Linked DNA regions of Sus scrofa. The protein of the gene in region 3 binds, or shares a complex with, the protein of the main gene of each other region. Links are inferred from orthologs where the notes say so. Each region holds a gene or a part of one and is shown on either strand. Other genes may lie near its edges. The genes, in order: CFD, CFP and CFB.

Region 1 (4,335 bases), on a different chromosome or scaffold from region 3:
CATGAAGCTACTCCTGGCAGCTCCAGCCAGGCTTTTGACCCCCGAGGGTCCCCACCCCAAGGCACGCCTTTCTGTCACCTCCTGCCACTGCTACCAAGGTAAAGGTTTTTGTTTGTGGAGTTCCCGTTCTGGCACAGTGGTAATGAATCCGACTAGGAACCATGAGGTTACGGATTCTTTCCCTGGCTTTGCTCAGTGGGTTACAGATCCAGGCATTGCTGTGAGCTGAGGTGTAGGTTGCAGATGTGGCTTGGGTCCTGCGTTGCTGTGGCTGTGGTGTAGTCTGGCAGCTGTAGCTTTGATTCGACCCCTAGCCTGGGAACCTCCATATGCCACAGGTGTGGCTCTAAAAGGTTGGGGGAAAAAAAAAAAGGTTTCACTTGCTATTTTCCGCAGTCCTTTTGGACTGTCCACTTCGTGTGCTCCCACAGGCAATGTGAAAGTAGTGAAGGTGGTCGGGGAGTTCCCGCTGTGGTGCAGTGGGTTAAGAATCTGACTGTAGCCACTCGGGTCACTGCTGAGGTGCAGGTTCTATACCTGGCTCAGTGGGTTGTTGCCAGCTGCAGCTTGGATTTAGTCCCTGGCTAGGGAACTTCCATATGCCACTGGTGTGGCCATTAAAAAAAATAATAATAAAAGGTTCAGATGCAGGAATGGATGACTTTATTGCTAAGCCTGGTGACCACCGCCCTGTCCCTTAGGTCCTCCTTAGGCGGCTGCGCTGTCAGCCATCACTCCGTCGATCCAGGCCACGTAGCTCGCCAAGCGCGTGTAGATGCCGGGTTTCTTGCGGTTGCCGCAGACTCGGGAGCCTGAGGTAACCACTCCCTCGGCCACACCCCCGCACACCAGCGGGCCTCCGGAGTCGCCCTGCGTGGGGCGGGGGCTTGAGAGCTGGGTCCAGGCCAGGCTCAACCTGAACCTGCTGCAATTCCGCTCATCCCTACAGCCCCAACAGGCTCTCTCGCTCAGCAATCTTCCCAGGCCCAGCCCATCAAGGCGCCGCCTCCCAACTTTCAGCTCTGCCCCTCAAGCTTTACTCCGCCCTTTGTCTGAGTTCAGCAGCCCCCGCCTCCGACCCTGCCCCATTCCTAGCCCTCTCCATGCCCGCCCTGGCTTTGTCTTTATCTGCACCCTCTCCCAGATCCCACCTCCCCTCTCAACTCTGCCACGCCCACCCAGCCCTCACTTCTCAGGCCACGCTCACGCTGTAGAGCCTGGCCACTCTCTAAGCTCCCCACATGCCCGCCCCCTCTCAGCCCTCCCGCCCTCGCACCTTGCAGCTGTCCCGACGGTTGCTCTCCGCGCACATCATGCGCTCGGTGATGGTGCCATCGTGGTATGTGCGCAGGTTGCAGGTGGTGCGGTCCAGCACCGGTAGGAGCAGGTGCTGCAGACGGTCGGGCCGGCGGCCAGTGTGACTGACCACTCCCCAGCCGGCCACGTCGCAGAGCGTGCCTGCCGGAACCTCGTGGTCCTCTCGTTGCCAGGCAAGGGGCTGCACGGCAGGGCCCAGCTCGGCCTTCTCGGAGAGCTGAGGGTGGGGGCGGAAGCGAGCGTTAGGGGCAGCGCAGCCCCCAGTGCAGCTGGAGGGACTGCGGCTAGACTTAGCAGACCTTCAGCAGGAGGAGATCATGGTCGATGGTGTCAGGCTGGCTGTCTGGGTGGGGCACGGCGCGGAGCACGTCGTACAGGCGCTTCGAGGGCTCGGGCTGTGACAGGGAGTGCGCACCCAGGAGAACCTGCAGCTTCCCCTCGGCCCTGGAAGTGGAGTGGGCTCACATCAGAGCCATGTCCCCACCCGACACCCAATTCCCCCATTCCGCTCTTGGTCCTGGGCCACTCACACGTCCTCCAGGCAGTGTGCTGCACTCAGCACCCACTGCTCAGACACCAGGAAGCCTCCGCACACGTGCTTGCCGTTCACCTGCACCGATGCCATGTAGGGTCTCTCGTGGGACTTGGCCTCCTGGCCACCCAGGATCCGGCCACGGGGCTGTGCCACTGGAGGATGCAGGTCCGAGTGAGGGTGACTGCAGCCCAGACCTCAGATTCCCTCTAAGAGAGCGGCTCTGGCACCCTCAGACTGAAATTCCTTCCTTGGGATCCTCCCCAAAGAGTTGCAAACTCTGGGGGCCCAGGGAGGGATGCTGAAGAAGACAGACCGGGCGGTGGGGAGTGACAGTCTGGGGCAGACTCCGCGTACCTACACACTGGGCCCTAGAACTTCAATATAGACACAGACAAGTGGGGCTGATCAGACCCAACATCCTGCCAGCCGTTTGCTCCCAGCCTGGGCTTTCTGTTGTAGAACCAGAGGCTCTCTGAACTCACTAGATTCAAAGTTTTGAGAATTGCTTGGTTTTCAGAGCCTTCTGTTCATGTGGACCCTGCCCCCTCTCTGCCCACCTAGTGGGGCTGGAGGGCCATCCTCTTGAGCGGAGGGGTCCATGGCTGACTGCGCTGCAGGCTAGGGGCCCCCAGCTGGCACCCCAGTCCCGGGTCCACTCACCACATACAGCTGCTCCGAGGAGGATCAGGGCTGCCAGGTGCCCGGAGCGGTCTGCCATGATGCTGCTGTGGCCTCAACAATGGCCCAGGGCAGGGCTCTGGGGTTCTTTTATGAGGGTGGAACGGGGTGGGGGGGGAGCTCCCACAGGTCCTATCTGCCAAGTGGGCAGTGGCCCAGCTGAACAAAGGGAAGCCGTCCACGCCCTTCTCTCCCCCCACTTCCCCCGCCACAGTGCTGTGATTATCTTCCCCTAGACTTTGTACCAAGAGTAGATGGGCTGCTGGACCTGCCTGCCACCTCTGTCATTCTGTGGGAAGAGCCCCTCAGGATGGGCGGTGGGCAGAGCAGAGGGATGGACCCACCCACCCACCCACCCTGACCCCCAGCCCAGTCTCCCAGAGTGCCCTTCCAGCCCCAGAGTTTCGCAACAGCAGCTGGAGAGCAAGCCCAGTTTGTAAACAACCCACTTCCTCATTTTCTGCCCCTCCCTTCTTTCCCTTCCTCCTGCAACTTGGAGCTGAGGTCGGGTGGGGGGGAAGGTCATCCAACGCCCTTGTCCACATTGCTGTGACTCTGGGGCTTGACACCCTTTAAGTAGAATATTGTTGATGAGTAGGGACAGCTGGAAAGACTGTTGCATACAAGTGACAAAAAAATGGAGTGTAAGGGGCTGGAACCTTCAACAAGAAAATTTAAATGGAAAGTTTATGGGTCTACCTTCAGGTGTAGCTTAATCCAGGCACCTGAACAATGTTTTGTTTCTTTTTTTCCTCCTTGATGGGTTGTCTCCTCAGCAGTCTCCCCTGTTGTGGCCTCAGGGGCCCTAGACTCAGACCAATGGCCCAGTTATTCCCTCTGCCAATTCCCCATCACTCTAGCCAGCATCTCAAGGCGGCCTCTGATTGGTTGAGTTTGGATCTCATGCCCCTAAAGCAGCCATTGTGGGTTGGCAGGTTCTGATGAGCAGAACCTGGGTCACATGGTTCTCTGTAAGCTGGGGATGGTGGGTCAACATCTCATGAACCTCTTCGGGGGAGATGCTGTGTGTAACCACAAGGGTGGGGAGGACCGTGAACGTCCCCAGGAGGAACAGTGCATGGTATTTTCTCCTTTCCTTCTTTTTTCTTCATGGTGGACCATTTCACACATACAGAGAAAAATAGAAAACAGCATAACAAATGCAATTTGTTAGACCCTAAAATGTTTCCTTGCTCAAATCAGAAACTCTAAAACAAAAGCCCATTGGAATGTGGAGTGCAGATTATGTAAGTAAAAGGATTGGAAATTGCAGCAAAATTTGGAAATTACCCAAAAAGACAGAATGGTTCAGTAAATAACCCTGCAGATCCTGGGATGCTTTGTTGACATGGAAAGACCGCCAAGATATCGTATTAAGTGGAAAAAGCAGTTGTAGGGCAGTGGGTCACCTGCCTGAGCAGCTGGCCCTTGTGGGGAGAGGTGTTCTGAGGACAACCTTAGGGAGAAGCTGGAAGGCAGAGGGAACAGCACTAGTTAAGACCCTGAGGTGTCCCAAGGCAAAAGGTTGGGGAAGTGGAGGAAGGATTGTTTCCGTACCCAGTGAGGCCGAGACTGGCCTGGACCCCAACCCCTGATTGGGTCCTCCCCAGACAGTGCCTCAGTCTTCCCCATGGGGAACTGAGAATCAGAGAAACAGTGAGCAATTTGCCCAAAGTCACAGAGCTGGGACTCGAACCCAGGCCCTGGAGCATGACTTTACAGTTCTTTGCATCTCTACTTCCTCGCCTGTAAAACAAGGCACTTATATAAGAACTACTTTAGGGGCTGGAGCCAGAAACAGATGA
Region 2 (2,457 bases), on a different chromosome or scaffold from region 3:
CACAGTCCTGGCGATAGGAAAGCCTTTCCCTACTCCTTCTTGCCAGGGAGGTCCAATCAGCTTCCTGGATCCAGATTGAGATGGCGGTGCCTTTTCCACACACCAACCATTCCTCGGAGGCCTTTTCTCGGGGCCCTGTGTACCTGGATCCCTTGGGGGAATACACGGGATCTGGGTTCTGCTTCTCTGCAACTGTTGCCCAAAAGGCCTTAGAGTGCCTCGGGGCATGGGTGACTGAGAGAATGAGAAGGTGAATGGAGACATGAATGACTGAGGGACTGAAAGAGCAAATCCAAGCTTGAGTAACTGAGGTAGCAGAACAAATGGACACAGGAAGAATGGAGTGAATGGGAGAATGGCTGAGTGAATGAGTGAAGGGCCTGGAGCCTACTGATTCTCCCTTCAACCTCCACTTCCTCAGCTTTTTTAGTTTCTCCCCTCTTCCTGCAGCGAGGAGATGGCCCTTGGCGAGGCAGGCACCTTGCATCCAGTGGTGGAAGCCCTGGTTAGGGGTAGCTGACTCTCCAACCCTGAATGCTGACATATCCATATCATGACCCCCTCCGAGGCATGCAGCCCCCCTCACTCACGGGAAATTGGGGAGCTTGGGCTGGCAGAGGCGCTGGCGGGTGCGGACAGGGCTGGGGCCACAAGGAGGTATGCACAGCCCCCAGGTACTCCACTCGGACCAGGAGGCTTCCTCTGCAATGAGGGGAGGGGTTCCCGAGTCAGAATTGGAAGTCTCAGTGGGATGGTGACAGAGAGGCGGCAGGGATGCGCGGGGTCCGAGGCAGAGAATCAGAAAGCCTGTATCCCCGGCATGGGCTGCCCCACCCCCACAGCATAGTCTCTGGGGCCACTCACTGAGGGGGCAGCGCTGGATGCTGTAGCAGTGCCGGATGTCCTGTTGTTCCCCAAGACATCGCCGTCCGTCAAACTTGCGGCCTTTGCAGATCCTCGAGCGGGTCTGCTGGCCTGGGATCTCCTGGCAGCTGATGTGCTTTATGCCCCGGCGGACGCAGTTGCTCCACTCTCCCCAGAGCCCCCACTCTCCATCCACTGCAGAGATGAGGCAGCTGGGCTCATACCAAAGAAGGGAGCCAGCGAGAGGGCTTGGAGGAAGGAATGGGGGCTGGGGTGGGAGTGGGAATGACCAGACGTGGGAAAGGGGGATCAGAGATGGAACCAAGGCATTGGGGCCAGGAATGGAGAAATTAGACGCAGGAATGAGGTATTAATAGCAGGAACTGGGCAGCAGAGATGGGGGGCAGGGCTTAGGCATGGAAATGAGGCATCTTGGGGTGCTGACCAGGGCAGGGCACAGCCGTGTTGCAGATGTGGGTCCGAAAGGCTTCGCCGACACAGAAGGGGCCCCCGTGCTGGGGCACAGGGTGATCACACGACCGTTGTTCTCGGGTCTGGCCCAGGCCGCAGGTCACAGGGCAGGGACTCACAGCGCCCCATGGCCCCCAGCCCCCAGCCACTGTTGGTGGAGGATGGAAGTGAGGGGAAAGGCCACCTCCGTTGCCCCCCTCAGCCCCTAGACCCCTGAGGCAGATTTCCCCTAGACAAAGAGCTCCATGGTCACATGGTCACATGGTCTCAGATCTCTGTCCCCTGAAATGGTAGAGCATCTGTGCTTCAGTCAAGAGCAGAGGGTCAGAGGCCTCATCCCCAAGTACCTGGGCAGGGTGGCAAGCCGCTGCACATCCGCTGGTCATTGGCTGACCCTGAGCAGGGATTCCCGGGAGGCTTCGTGGAAGGCTCAGGTGCTGTGCACGTGCGTTTTCGTCTCTCCACAGGTTCGCTGGGTCCACCTTTGCAGGTGCTTTGGCAGGGGCCCCAGGGACCCCAAGCAGCCCAGGCCCCGTGTGCTGTGATGGGGTGGGGGATGGGGAGATGCCAAGTGTGGTCACGCATGCTGAAGTCCTCCCACCCTGGAAGTTCCCTGCTGTAACTCCTGGACCCACCCCGCATGCCCGAATCATTGCTCTGTGGTTGCCCTCACTCACTGGGGCAGACCTGTTGGGTGTCACAGTCCTCTGATTCCTGTGCCTCTCCTGGGCAGTGGCCCCCACACTTGGGGGTGGGGCGATCACATGCCCGACGACGAGTCCGGGTCCCTCTGGAGCAGGTGGCAGAGCAAGGTGCCCAGGGCCCCCAACTGGACCAGCCGCCCATCTCTGTGGGAGGGAAGAGGGCGACAAGATGGAGGTGGTGGTGCCATTCAAGGGTCCGGGCTTCCTCGTGTGTCCCATATCAGCTAACCCTGTCCCCACATCTTCTGCCACACGTGGCCCACCATCCATCATTGCTCATCTGGACGATTGCAGTAGCTTTCACACTGGTTCCCCGGCCTCACTCCTCAACACGTGCAGTCTGTCTTCCTAACAGCAAGAGGGGCCTGCCACAACCCAAGTCGGATCACATTTCTCTGCCATCACTACATCACTCCAT
Region 3 (4,091 bases):
TTTTAATTGTTGCTCTGACGACGGAAAGTAGTAGCAGGTTAACATCATTTGCACGTGTTAACAATAACATTTGAGGCTTTTCCAAGACGGAAAGTTCCTTACAGTATTTGCGCCTGCTGTGATAAGAGCACACCCTCCCCTGGGGCGATGGTTCCGAGCCACTGGCTAAGGAGGCTGATGGTAGAAAGGCCGTCCTGCCGCCAGAGGGCAGCATGGCAACTGGGCTTCCAAGAGCCAGAGGCCAGGAGTGGAGGTGGTCAAACACTGGGCCTCAGGTCTCCTCAGTGCCCTCCTTCAGACCCTAATGCGTCTTTCCTCCCTCCCTAGCTGTCCAGAATAGCCCTAAGGGTTGCCACCGGGACAAGAGGACTCAGATTGTCTACAGTGATGACGTCTACAAGGAAAACCTTGTGGACGGCTTCTAGGGAATGGAGCTGGATTCCGTGTGCCTCACCTGCCCCAACGCTGGTCTCAGTAAAACACTGAGGTGGAAGCTCACACATCTCCCTCAGCCTCTGGTTTTTCAGCCCTTGGGATTGGGGTCGAGCCTTTAAAAACGGCTGTTAGATTTGATCTCAGTTGTAACAACATGGCCAGTGCACGCTCCCCGTTCCTTTACCCCAAAAGGATCTTGAACACAGGTGTTGTCGCAGCTGTTTTAATTTGATCTCATGTCCCTTTCCAGCAGGAAACCCCTTAGAGAAAACCCAGATCCTCATCTTTGAGTTTCTCCTTGAGCCAGGGCAGCACTTTGTAGAGGTTGATGTGAAAGTCTCGGGCGTAAGAGGGTGCCTGCTGCTGCCGCTTGCAGATATCCACGACGCCCCAGCTGATCACGCCAACCTGGAGAGGGCGAGGGGGTGCCGGGAATCCTTTGGTAGAATTCCTTCTGAATCCCAGGAGGCACAGCTCCTCCCCCTTGCATCCGAGCTGACCCCAGAGGATTAGAGTAGGAGCCAGCTCCGTCCTGTCCCCTGGCACACAGCCCAGACATGCAGCCCTGAGTTGGCCAGTTCAAGAGGAGCCTGAAGGTCAGGCAGGCTCCACCCTCCCCTTTGCAGCCACAGTGAGTGGTCCCGCCTTGGAGCCTAGGCTGACTGCTTGGTCCCTCCCACAGAGAGGAAAGGGGAGACTCACTTGAATAAAGCGGCTCTTCTTATGAATAATCAGGGGGCCCCCTGAGTCACCTGCAGGAGAGGAGAAGCTGTAGGGAAAAGACCCTCAGGCCTTGGGAACTTAGAGCACAACCAGAGAGCCTTCTCTCACCTTTGCAAGTGTTGGGGTCAGCATAGGGAATCACCCCGCCAGTGCAAAGGAACCTGGGGGTGACCACCTCAGAGACGACTTTGACCTTTTCATAGCCTTGGGCTTGTAGAGCATCTCTCTCACAGGCAGCTTTCTGTAGGTGAGGGGGGGGACACCCAGAGGAGAAAGGGGTGATGAACAAAGCTTGCTTAGGAAGCTCGGGAGCCTGAAGGACAGCCTCTGGATCCCCCGTTCCTCACCCTTTCCCCATTCTTGATGTAAACCTCCTTCCGAGTCAGTATCTTCCTGTGATCCTTGGTCAGCTCTGACACAAACAGGGCTTTGACATCCTTTGCAGGCAGCAGCTCTTGCACTGGACAGGTGGACAGACTGGGTCGTTTCATCACGCTCCCTCCCCCCAGCACCTGTCCGTTATCTTTATCACTCAGCAGATGTCCCTCAACCCCGGCCCAGCAGCTGGAGAGGGCTGGGCGTCATCTGTTCTTCCTGCCGCTCCCTCTCCCGCCTCCCTTGTCTCTTGGGATCTCACCCTCATGCTCTTGTCCCCGAAGGCATCTTACTCTGTTGCTGGCACGTGGTTGTCAGAGGAAGCCTCAGAGCTTGATTTGATCCCTCAGTGCAGGGGAGACAAATGGGCCTGGTGAGGAGGGATGGGGGGATTCAGGGATGGTGACCTCCGGGCCTGCCCCAGTCTTTCGGCCTCACCTTTCGCAGGCTTTTCTCCCTGGGGAGCCAGATGGCTCACCTGATGGTCTGGTCATACTTCAGCTTTTTCGAGAGCCTGATCAGGGCCACGTCATAGTCATAAAATTCAGGAATATCTTTTGCGGTCTTTGCGTTGAGGTCATAGTTTGGGTGAAATAAGACTTGGTCTATCTCCCACTCCTGCTTCTTCCCTCCTGAAGTACCAGAGCAAGAACAGTTACCTCTAGACCATGCGCTTCACTGTGGGCAGCCTCCACGTCACCCCTCACTCAAGTCTCCCTACCCCTCACTGGTCCAGCCCGCGAGGGAGCAGACAGGTGGAGTGTAGGCTCGTGAGGAAGTGGGAGGTGTCACCCAGAGGACGTGGCTGAGGCTCAGGATTGGTTGGTTGCATCCTTACCCAGGCTGACCTTGATGGAGTGTTTCTCGTCATCCACAGTGAAACAGTGTGCAGCTGTCAGCACAAAGTACTCAGACACCACGGCACCCATACAGCTCTCATGGCCCTTTGAAGGGCGCTGGGAACAGAGCGGCAGGAGGGGAAGCTTGGCTTTCGCAAACGCCACAATCTAATATCAACAGTCTGCTCTTCCTCTTTCCTTTCACCTTGACCTCACCAGCCACAAGTCCCCACTCTCAGGACACTGCACTTACAGTGATTGAGATCTTGGCATGCCACGGCTGCTTGTGGTAGTCAGTACCGTCCTTGTGCTCCCAAACCATGCCACAGAGACCCAGACTCCGGCTTTCATCTGGCAAAAAAAGGACTGCGCTGAAAGCTGGGACACTTCGTTTCCAGGTGGCAGCAGCCTTTTGGGGAGGGACACCCACAGGGCCACAGAGAACAGGCGTACAGGAGGAAAAGGAAGGTGGGGGCACTCGTTTCCTTACGCTGAGGGCAGGGACGGACCCTCTAGGGTAGCATGAGAGGACCTGGGGGCTGAGATTAGAGACATGGCTGTTTTCAGACCTAGCTCTCGCTGATCTGTCGTTCCTTGACCTCTCTTGGCCCCAGTTTCCACATCTGTACAACGAGGGACTTGAGAAAAGATCATCATCTTTCAGAGCTCTGTGGTTCTAAGGGCAGGGTGTGGACAGTGCCAGGAAGCAAGAATAATAACTGAGGTCGAGAGAGGCCTTCGGGACGGCCAGAGCTTTGGGAGGAGTGGGAGAGTATGGGGGGCCTGGGGAGAGCTGAGGCTCCTAACTGTCTCCTTGTATCCTCCTGATAGCTTCCTACCAAGCATTTGGAAGAAAACATCCTCCAGGTTATCTACGTCCTTGAGTTTGAACACGTGTTGTTCCTTGTCCTTCTTGGAAGCCAAAGCATTGATGTTCTCTTGGTTCACCAGAGGCCCAACCCCAAACACGTAGATGTCTGAGGGAGAAAAGGGGCGAGTGAGGGTCCAGGCCCTCGGGGTGGGGGTGGGGGAGTCGGAACTGAGGAGGCAGGCTTCTGGGTCCTGGGCGGTCACACTCACCCAGATAATCCTCCCTTGGGTTTTTGCGATTTCTACCAATGTTCAGCAGGTCCCGAATATCATGAATGACCGTGACCGGATCCCCGCCCATGTTGTGCAAGCCTGCAGGAGAGGCAGGGACCATGAAGGAAGGAGACGAGGAAGGATGAGGCTCAAGAAAGACAAAATGGCTAGACAGAGTGACACTTGGGGCTGAGTGAGCAGGCTGGGGGGAGACGTGTCCCTCCTTGTAAAGCTTCACGGGAAAGGTTGACAAGGTCGGGGCTCTGAGCAGCACTTGGGGCCCCAACCATGAGTCCAGCTTTACACATGGCCTTCAGGGCCCCGCAGTGGTTTGAGAGCTTGGGGTGTCAGGCAGGAGAGGGGGCCCTCTACCATCAGTCAGGAGGACAATGACATGGCGGGTGCGGTTCCAGTTATCAGGAAAGTTGTTCACTCCCCAGCTCATCATGTTGTATACTTCCAGGAGCGCCTTCTTGGTGTTAGTCCCTGCCTTCAACTTGTGGTCTGTGGAAAGGGAAGACATCATCACGTCACTGATCGTCCAAGCCATCCTTGACCCCAGAGGCCTCTCAGCGGCTGATAGGCCACATCTTGCAACTTTCTGAGTTAACTGTCACCCCCGTTGACTTTCCTCTG

The links.
Region 1: the proteins of CFB (region 3) and CFD are in contact, whole or in part, in a crystal structure (PDB 2XWB), measured with the Homo sapiens proteins. The link is inferred for Sus scrofa from reciprocal best matches to the Homo sapiens genes CFB and CFD. Residues at the interface, in NP_001701.2 of Homo sapiens: Glu298, Ala301, Ser302, Ala332, Asp333, Ile469, Asp470, Glu471, Ser472, Glu518, Tyr519, Lys585, Asp758, Glu759, Asp760; in NP_001919.2 of Homo sapiens: Asn157, His158, Ala159, Gly160, Arg161, Arg162, Arg182, Thr183, Asp186, Arg200, Val228, Cys229, Gly230, Asn231, Arg232, Lys233.
Region 2: the proteins of CFB (region 3) and CFP are in contact, whole or in part, in a crystal structure (PDB 7NOZ), measured with the Homo sapiens proteins. The link is inferred for Sus scrofa from reciprocal best matches to the Homo sapiens genes CFB and CFP. Residues at the interface, in NP_001701.2 of Homo sapiens: Glu54, Gln56, Ser78, Thr316, Tyr317, Leu349, Ser351, Met394; in NP_001138724.1 of Homo sapiens: Arg329, Arg330, Asn331, Lys333, Pro341, Met420, Val421.

Annotation. Positions count from the first base shown.
Region 1 is NC_010444.4:77,509,152-77,513,486, forward strand, and holds CFD (complement factor D), read right to left. Parts: upstream 2,838-4,335; 5' UTR 2,571-2,837; coding exon 2,513-2,570; intron 2,005-2,512; coding exon 1,848-2,004; intron 1,762-1,847; coding exon 1,617-1,761; intron 1,535-1,616; coding exon 1,277-1,534; intron 871-1,276; coding exon 709-870; 3' UTR 641-708; downstream 1-640.
Region 2 is NC_010461.5:42,147,440-42,149,896, forward strand, and holds part of CFP (properdin), read right to left. Parts: intron 2,184-2,457; coding exon 2,013-2,183; intron 1,875-2,012; coding exon 1,683-1,874; intron 1,484-1,682; coding exon 1,310-1,483; intron 1,060-1,309; coding exon 865-1,059; intron 703-864; coding exon 591-702; intron 1-590. UniProt on the Homo sapiens protein: A positive regulator of the alternate pathway (AP) of complement. It binds to and stabilizes the C3- and C5-convertase enzyme complexes. Inhibits CFI-CFH mediated degradation of Complement C3 beta chain (C3b).
Region 3 is NC_010449.5:24,037,075-24,041,165, reverse strand, and holds the end of CFB (complement factor B), read right to left. Parts: intron 3,960-4,091; coding exon 3,828-3,959; intron 3,555-3,827; coding exon 3,453-3,554; intron 3,350-3,452; coding exon 3,212-3,349; intron 2,724-3,211; coding exon 2,626-2,723; intron 2,490-2,625; coding exon 2,372-2,489; intron 2,166-2,371; coding exon 2,012-2,165; intron 1,904-2,011; coding exon 1,827-1,903; intron 1,619-1,826; coding exon 1,506-1,618; intron 1,400-1,505; coding exon 1,267-1,399; intron 1,188-1,266; coding exon 1,138-1,187; intron 844-1,137; coding exon 697-843; 3' UTR 643-696; downstream 1-642. Other genes in the region: NELFE (negative elongation factor E), read left to right, coding at 328-486.